2 linked regions of the Rattus norvegicus genome follow. The main gene of each other region encodes a partner of the protein of the gene in region 2 in a complex. Links are inferred from orthologs where the notes say so. Each region holds a gene or a part of one and is shown on either strand. Other genes may lie near its edges.

The links.
Region 1: Smarcd1 (region 2) and Arid2 share a complex: the UniProt entries of both Homo sapiens proteins name them as parts of the SWI/SNF-B (PBAF) chromatin remodeling complex. The link is inferred for Rattus norvegicus from reciprocal best matches to the Homo sapiens genes SMARCD1 and ARID2.

The regions. Positions count from the first base shown.
Region 1 is NC_086025.1:129,324,754-129,329,178, forward strand, and holds the start of Arid2 (AT-rich interactive domain-containing protein 2), read left to right. Parts: upstream 1-1,617; 5' UTR 1,618-1,876; coding exon 1,877-1,968; intron 1,969-2,074; coding exon 2,075-2,168; intron 2,169-3,234; coding exon 3,235-3,332; intron 3,333-4,425. UniProt on the Homo sapiens protein: Involved in transcriptional activation and repression of select genes by chromatin remodeling (alteration of DNA-nucleosome topology). Required for the stability of the SWI/SNF chromatin remodeling complex SWI/SNF-B (PBAF).
Region 2 is NC_086025.1:132,707,248-132,711,459, reverse strand, and holds the start of Smarcd1 (SWI/SNF-related matrix-associated actin-dependent regulator of chromatin subfamily D member 1), read right to left. Parts: upstream 2,834-4,212; 5' UTR 2,829-2,833; coding exon 2,652-2,828; intron 2,602-2,651; exon of another isoform or gene 2,427-2,601; intron 2,015-2,426; coding exon 1,827-2,014; intron 1,536-1,826; coding exon 1,493-1,535; intron 1,395-1,492; coding exon 1,272-1,394; intron 837-1,271; coding exon 714-836; intron 1-713. UniProt on the Homo sapiens protein: Involved in transcriptional activation and repression of select genes by chromatin remodeling (alteration of DNA-nucleosome topology).

The sequences.
Region 1 (4,425 bases), about 3.4 Mb from region 2:
TCAGGAATTTCCTAGCCACACCTTATCCCGACCCCGTGGAAGACATAAACTTTACTTGGGAAATAAATCCGTTTCCTAGAGTGAGCACCGGAAGCACGCTCCGCTGTATTACATAATTCTTTTTTTCCCTCCCCTCCCCGTCACCCGATAGGTGCTCCCATCGGAAAAGACTACCTGAAATAACCCATCCTGACTCTTACTATCCTGTGACCTTGGGCTAGTGACTTTGCCACCAGTGGCTGTCTCTAAAATGGGAATCCTAATACACCAAAGGGGAAGCATGATGCTCAACCTTTGTAAACCGGGGAGGGTTCCAACACCCGGTCGATACAAATTTAAGTGGTGCTTTTATTCTAGAATAAAAATTTTTATTTCCCTATTTACACATTTAAAAAAAAAGAATCAACACAGAAAACTGAAGGGGTGAAAACATTTTGCCCTCTTTCAGATACGAGTGCAAAAAAAAAAAAAAACCCTCCATAAGCAATGTTATTCTCAAAGTTGGGAGGTTATTTCCCCAACAGGCGCGATGACCGTTTGCATACCTCCTGTTGGGTGCACCAAACCGACCAAAAACGGGAGGACGACTTAAAAGCCTTACTCTATCTCCACTAAAGTAGGGCAGGCAGTTCCCAGCCTATTTGATCCCACAGTTTGTCAAAGTGAGTTTACGGCCCCATCATGGACCATGTGCTCATCGGGCTTCCTTCAAGCATGAAGCCCAGAGGCCGACGCCTCCTGCTAGAAACGTCTCCAGAGGGGGCGAGCGGACTTCTCCGCGACCGCCCGGGCTGCGCCGCCGTGCGAGCCTCCGTGTGGCGGGAGGCCCGGCGGGCGTCCGCCGGGGGACGCGAACATCGCCTCCACCCCTAACCCCGGAACAACCGGTAGTGGCCGTTTCCCCGCGCCGCCCCCCTTTCCGCCCGCTTTGTGTGCGTGTGAAATGTGCTGCACATTGCAGATGAACCCTAAGCCGGGCGAGCCGAGTCTATTGTTCCCCGCGAGGAGCCGCCGCGACCGTGTGGAGCCAGGCGCAGTGCCGCGGCCGGCCCTCGGGGGGCGCTGTGCGGCGCTGGCGGCCCGGCCGTGGCGGCGGCTGAGAAGCAAGGCTGGCGGGCAGGCAGGCCGGCGGGCGGGCGGCGCGCAGCGGCTCGGCTGCCGCCGGAGCCTGTGCCCGGGGACTCCCGGGCCGCCGCCGCCGCCGCCGCGCGTGAATGTGTGCGAGGGCCCCGCGGAGCCGCGGCCCGGATCCACGCTGTCACCCCGCTCTCCACAAGCCACCACACAGACCTCCCCCTCCCCACGCGGCCCCGCCTGCCCCGGCCCCGCCGCGCCGCCGCCGCCGCCGCCGCCGAAACTCCCAGGCCTGCGGCCGCCCGGGCCCCTCGCCTCCGCTCGCCCGGCCCCCGGCCGGCTCGTGCGCCCCCGGCCGCAGCACCATGTTGAATCGCGTCCCCGGGCCGAGCCGCCAGGGCCGGCGGCGCTGAGAGGCGGCCAGAGCCGGGCCGCGGGAGGCGGCGAGGCAGGGTGGGGGCCGCGTTCGCCCCGCGGCTCCGCGCCCGGCCGCCCGTCGCCTGCCCCTCTAGTTTCGCTCCCGTTTCTTTAAACTTTTTTAGAAATTCCCCTCCCTCCGGCCCTGCGCTCCCCCTGGCCTCCCGCTCCCTCCTTCCCCTCCTCCTCGCCTCCTCCCCCTCCCTCCTCCCTCCCTGCGCCGCCGCCGCCGCCGCCGCCGCCGCCGCCGCCACCGCCGGCCCATGACTGAGCCCCGCCACCGCCGGCCGAGGAATGGGCTCCGGGCGCTGGTAGGGAGCGCGGGGAGCGGGGGCCGCGTTTGAACCGCGATCTGGGTTTTCGGGAGACCTCCTTTGGCAAAATAATGGCAAACTCGACGGGGAAGGCGCCTCCGGACGAGCGGAGGAAGGGACTGGCTTTCCTGGACGAGCTGCGGCAGTTCCACCACAGCAGAGGGTGAGAGCAGGACCGGGGGGGCAGCACCGGGGCGAGCCGGGGCGAACGGGGCCCGCGGCGGGCGCGGGGTCCCGGTGACAAGTGCGGGGCTTTCTGTCGCCCGCAGGTCGCCGTTTAAGAAGATCCCTGCGGTGGGTGGGAAGGAGCTGGATCTTCACGGGCTCTACACCAGAGTCACTACTTTAGGCGGATTCGCGAAGGTGAGTGGAAGTTTTAATTTGTATTTCCCTCTCGCTGGCCTGCTCGGAAAAGTCTGCTCCGGCCCGGGAGCCGGCGCCCGGGGCCGGGGGGGCGGTCGGCCGGGCACACGGCGTTCTCGGCGCTCGCAGCCGGTGGCACGGAGGCGGCCGGCGGCGGGGCTGTTTTCGGCCTGGTGGCTCGCGTGCGCGCGGCGGGCGCGGGGCTGGGCGGGCGGTGCGGCCCGGCGGCGGGGAGCGCCCTGCCCGGTGTCCGGCCGGCCCCGCGGGGTCTGAGCGGCGCGGCGGGGAGCGCGGGCGAGCAGAGTGCTCGCCCGCCCGCCGAGCCCCGCGCCCGCCCGCCCCGCGCCCGCCCGCGAGTCAGCGCCGCCGCCGCCGCCGCCGCCGCTGCCGCTCTAGCACAGGCGGAGACACAGAGACACACAGACTCTGAGCAGTTTTCGTGCAACTCAAAATTAGCGCGGGCAGGTTTAACATCGATAATCGGCTGCGAAATGATCCCGGCGGCCGGGGGCACAGCCTCGGCCCGCTCGCCCTGGCTTTCTACAGCTAACAAAAGAAAGCAGGACCTGTCTGCAAATAGCCATCTTAGGCTTCAAGGCTAGGCAGAAGCTGTAGGCCTCAAAGAAGGGCCTATGGAGATGGATAGATCTGGGAGAGGGATCGGAGTCGGCCCCGGCCCCGGCCCCCCCAGAGCCCGCGGACGTCGCTGTCCGGAGCAGTATTGATCCTTTTGAACTTTTTTTTTCTTTAGTGTAAACGGACCGCGTTGAGGTTTAAAAGGGGGCGACAGAGGGACTTGCGATTGGTTATTGTCCGGGCTTCAAAAACAAAACAAACCCACCAACCCCCCCAAAAACAAAACAAGTGCTGCTAAATACAGGGTTTTCTGGTGAAAACACAGTGATTCAAGCAGCCCTGGCTTGGTAACTCTTGTGGCTCGACCCCAGACACCCACTGATCCTTAGGTACCCACAGATCTCTGCAGAAGGGTCATTTAGCTTCCAAGTTAGGGTAGGTTTTTCTTGGATTGGGCACTTTCAGACAAGTGTGCCTGTGTTTTTAACAGGTTTCTGAGAAGAATCAGTGGGGAGAAATTGTTGAAGAGTTCAACTTTCCCAGAAGTTGTTCTAACGCTGCCTTTGCTTTAAAACAGTATTACTTGCGGTGAGTAGTGGCGTCTTTCCCCAGTATTTGCAAACGAGGGACTTCGGGGCAATTAAACAACAAAATCTAAGCTCTAGACAGTTTCCAATCCCTTGTTAATTTCACTCTGAGAAGCATTTGCTGTCAATAAACTGAGATGGTAGGAGTCTGAAGTTTTCCTCAGGTTAAAAATACAGTCGTTTATATTTTTCATACAAAGCCATTACAGGTGACAATCCATATCCTATCTTGTAAACATTCTTTTGTGACATTGTTATTGACTGCTGGGTAGCCACTGAGGGCCAGAAAAGAAGGTGCTTAGTGAAAGACTTGGGATACTTAAGGAAACTTTGTAACCTGTGGGAAGATTTTTTCCCCCCTTCTTTATTTGGAAACCCCTTAACCGCCTACAATTTCATGGGTTTTTATTTTATTTTATTTTTTGTTTGTTTATTTGTTTGTTTAAAGAAAACTTACTGCATGGAACTGTTACTCTGCGTTTAATGGGATATTTTTTCATAAATAATTCAATGTAGATACCTTGGCTGATCAGAATTAACTTTTTGAACTCCTTTGTTATTTATTGAACTTTTGAGCGACTTAAAATTATCCAGTATCTTTAGGAATACGGGGATGGTTTGAGACCAGGTATTATAGTTGGAATTTTCTTTCATTTCCTTATATTTTGACTGCTTACTCCAGAAAGTCAATTTCTTGTTTATACGATCCAGTTAGATAATGTATTTTGTGACTTAGTGGTTTCTTCTTAGATTTTCTCCTATACTTTCATGCTGTACTTTATTTTGAAGGAAACTTTTATTTTTCTTTGATTACCACAGTAACCTTAATTATTTAAAATGAAAATAATGATCTTAATATTTCTAATGAATGTTGGTAATGGTGACATTACAAGATAGCCTGTTTTATATTTGCAATGTAGCTTCTGCATAATTTTAGTTTCATATTGCTTTAAATGCACTAGTCACTCTGTATAGCGCTTAGGATTCTGAAATAGGAAACAGGGTAATTGCACAGGTGGACTTCCTATTGGCTGCCTTAGATTGACTTCAGACTTCTTGCTGAAGAGTTCACAGAACTTGGCAGTTAGTGAGTT
Region 2 (4,212 bases):
AAACCGCTAGCACAACAAAGCACATCTGAGCAGAGGAAAGCCTGACAGCAGAGGGCAAATGAATCCCAGGCCAGAGGCAGGGGAACAAAACCTGCCTTTCTCTGGACAGAACACATGACCAGCAAATAGCCTGGACCTACCCAGAGGCAGCTCGGTTCCCCAGCAAAAGTGCATCAGACGAGCTCACTTGCACACAGTTTAAAAGTGTCAGAGTGCAGAGCTCTGAGGGAACGGCGAGCCTCCCCAATGAGCTGCTGGGTGGAGAGTCTGGGGTGCTCATTAGTCTGATGAGCAACAAAGAGCCAAGCCTTTGGGGGGGCTATCGTACTTAAACTGTGGTGCCTCCAATGAAACCTGGGAAGACAGAAATAACCTCAAGGACCTAAGGGAGGAAACATGGGCTCAAACACTAAGCACAGATGGTGGTGGGGATAAGTGAGCACTGAAATCCGAAGGGCAGCATCACCAGGCAAAGTAAACAACAACCCAGACCCCAGAGCAACAAAGGTTTCCACTTGATACCAGAGAAGCTGTGAGAGTAGGCACAAAGGACCATTGTCTTTGTAGGCAGGGAACACAGCACCCCCAACCCCCTTCCGGAAGCTCCCAGCAGGAGTGGTGAACACCAGTCAGGTTTCCTGCTGACCACACAGCACTGCTCCTTCCCAACAGCTCCCACCCTGAGCACCAACCACCATGGACCCTGAACTCACATCCTCCAGGAGCCGTCCTTCTACCCGGAGCTCCCAGGAAGCCACAGTCCCTTCCCCGTCCTCGGCATCCGACTTAGCCGGATTGAATGTGTTAGAAATGAAAATCCGCAGCTTCCGTTTTTGCTGAGGAAGGCAGAAACAGGATTGACCGTGGGGCTTCAAGAGCACAAGGTTCCCTAAAGCTCCCAGGTCACTCCTACCAGGCTGGCTTTGTAGATGGATAAGGACTCCACTGAGGAGCAAACAGGCCCTGACTTGGGCCTGAGTAAATGTGCCAGGGTGCCAGGGAGACAAAGTCGTGCAAAGTGGCAGGTTCCCAAGGTAGCGAGGAGCAAAAACAAGGACAGGGTGTGTTTCTGCTGAAGAGAGTGGGAAGCCCCCCCTCTCCTTGCCAGCCGCCCCACTCCTATGCTCCTGATGTAATTCCTGGTTTGCAGGCAGAAGGGAAAGATGCAGTTTAAATGCCAAAGAGAGATGTGCTGTGCCTTTGGGTTTTCTTCCTAAGCTTGGTGGAGCGTCCTGGCTCCCTCCTGTGACCCTCTGGTACTCTCCTGGTACCTTGATGGGCCGCTTCAAGGCCTCCTGGATATCCAGGCGTTTCCTCATAATAGTCTGGTCCAGTTTCCTTTCAAAAGCCAGGAGATCCATGTAGGCCTGTGATTCCGGTACCAATTCCCGAATCTTAGGAACAGAAAGATAGGGTCAGGCCCTAGAGCTGACCACCTCTATTCTCAAAGCCACTACCCCTTCAGGAAGGCCTCTACAGCTGCTGCACTCACCCTCTGAGGTAGGATTTTGTCAGCCATCTTCTTTTTCTTTGCACTGTTCAGAATAAATACTGTTATCAGGTTGGGATAGGAACTAGTCAAAACATGAGCATCGCTGTGAGCACCTCCATTTATGGTACAGCTACTACGGCCTACGGGATGACTCTCCATCTCCCAGTACCACAAAAACTCCACTTCATCACGAGGCCAGAGAGCCTTCAAAAGGGTGAGTCCCTGCAGCACCATTTGATACTGCAGCGCCTGACTTCCTGGGGACTCCCAGCATCAGCATCCTCACAGGCCTCCTCCCATCCCCGTCTTTCCTTCACCCCAGGGGGCATCTTACTTGTGATTTCGATTTTGGACCGCCTGCTGCTGGACCTGCTGGATCTGTTGAGGTGCAGGTCTCTTGCGGGATTGGTCCATCCCTGACTGGGCCAGGCCAGGTCGGACTGAAGGGTTCCCCCCATAGCCAGGAGGTCCCATGGAAGGTCCCTGAGGTGTCATTCGGCTGCCTGGCAGCATACCTGGTCTCTACAGAAGGGAGAGGACCAAGAGATGTCATATTTTTCCATGCTAGCCCCACCAAGGAAGGAAAAGTGGTGGAAGGCTGGATTTCAGGGATGGGGTAGGGCTGGGGGGTGGGTAGAGTGGAGGACAAGACAATCCTTTGCTTCTTTGAAATATGGTAACTGGAGCTTCTTCAGGCCTACTAGTGATTTAATGGAATATAGTCTAAAAACTAGATTATACTTGAATTTTCTGATCTATGCTGGATCTGACTCATCAGACATTTCTAGTCCTACTTTTTTCTTTTTTTAAACTAGCTGCTGTCTCCTCTAAGGCTGACCTCAATTTGCTGCAATAGCTTGGGTGTTCCTGGAGACACTGGGGCTGCCCATTCCCCTCTGCATCCCATGCCCATCCCAGGGCCCACTTCACCCACCCTGGTTCCACACTCGCTCCTCACACGGAAACAATGCCGCTGGGAGCAGGTAAGGATGCTAACCTCCTTCCCCCCACTCTTCCTCCGCTCAGTTTCCCCCACCTCCACTCCCGGCCCGAGCCCCTCCCTAGGGAGTCCCTCCCACTTCTCCCTCACCCCTGTCAGTCCTCCGCCCTCGCTCGGCCCCGCCCCCGGCCCGCGCGCCCCTCCTCCTGTCCCACTCACCGGATAGGCCGCCCCGGGCATCGGAGAGCGGTACAGCCCTTGACCCGGCGCCGGGCCCATTCGCACGGGAGGCCCGGGAGTTCCGCCCGGGCCCAGAGCAGCCGCCACGCCCGCTCCTCCTGAGGCTCCCGCGCCGCCGCTCGGAGCCACGGACTGGAAACCCGCCCGGGCCGCCATCTTCCCGGAGCCGCCGCTGCAGCTGCACAAAGAACCGGAACCGGAACTCCCCCCGCCCCCCGCGCGCCCCCCGAGCGCCTGGGCTGTTTGTGGGCCCGGCCCGCCGGCGGGCACGGGCGGCTCGGGGCAGCGAGACTACGGGCTAGAGGGGGCGACTAGCGGGAAAGGCGTGCTGACCACTCCCTCCCGCCTTCACGGGCCAGGAGGGAGCACCATAGAGAGGCGGTGTGCTGATAAAGAAGTGCCGGGAGCGAGCGCCCCCGGGCGGTTGGAGGACGTCAAGGCCTTGCAAAGAGCCCAGCCCACCCCGCAGGCGGCTGGAGTGATGCTTCACCTCGGCCCAGTGCGTTTACCTCTCCAAAGCATTCTGGTTGGTTTGCTTTTTGTTTTCCTACGGATCAGACTCCGGATGCTAAAGAGGGAAACAGGCTGTTTGTTCGTTTTACAAACGGAAAAGCTGAACTCAAAGGAGGTGAATGTCGTGGCAAAGACAAATCGAGATAAGAGAAAAGCCATCCTGGATTCGGGTCTCCTGGCTGGTAGCCAGGGCCTCATCTTATAAATAATGGCTTAAGGGGTTGGGGATTTAGCTCAGTGGTAGAGCGCTTGCCTAGGAAGCGCAAGGCCCTGGGTTCGGTCCCCAGCTCCAAAAAAAAAAAAAAAAAATAAATAAATAAATAAATAAATAAATAAATAATGGCTTAACAGCTCCCCGGCACGGGAACTTAGCCCTTCACCTCAGACCTTTAACTTCAGATTTTAATGAATTCTTTTACCTTGAATCTTCTCCAAAGAGACCCGGATATCTGTTGCTTTAGATTACTTTGCTGGTCCACTGCCTAGGGAACAGAGGATTCCTGAATTTGTTCTTTTCCAGGTGGATCAGTGTTTTTACCTGATCAAGTATGTAGGGTCTCGAATAGCCTGGTCTAGCGTTAAACTCACTGTGTGATGGAAAACAGCTGCTCCATCTCCTATGCGCTGGAATTAGAGGTGGAACCACCACACCAGACTACCACCCAAATTTCTTTAGTTGTGTGGCCCTCAAGGCAAGCTCCGATCTAAAGGTTAACACCCAGAGTGCAGGGTGCTGGCAGCTCATACCTTTAATCCTAGCGTTTGGGAGGTAGGAGGATCTCTGTGAGTTCGAGGCCAGCCTGGTTTACAGAGCTGTTCCAGGACAGCCGAGGCTACACAGAGAAACCCTGTCTCAACACAAAACAAACAACAAACAGAAAACCAACACTGAAGAGATGGTTGAAACCCAGTTTATTAGACCAGAGGCATGCGTCACCCAGAGCCCCTTCTGCTGCCCCCCAGTCAGTGTCCATTTCCCTGCTTTGCCCTGCTTCCTTCTGGGGGAGTTCTGTTCTCTAAACAACTC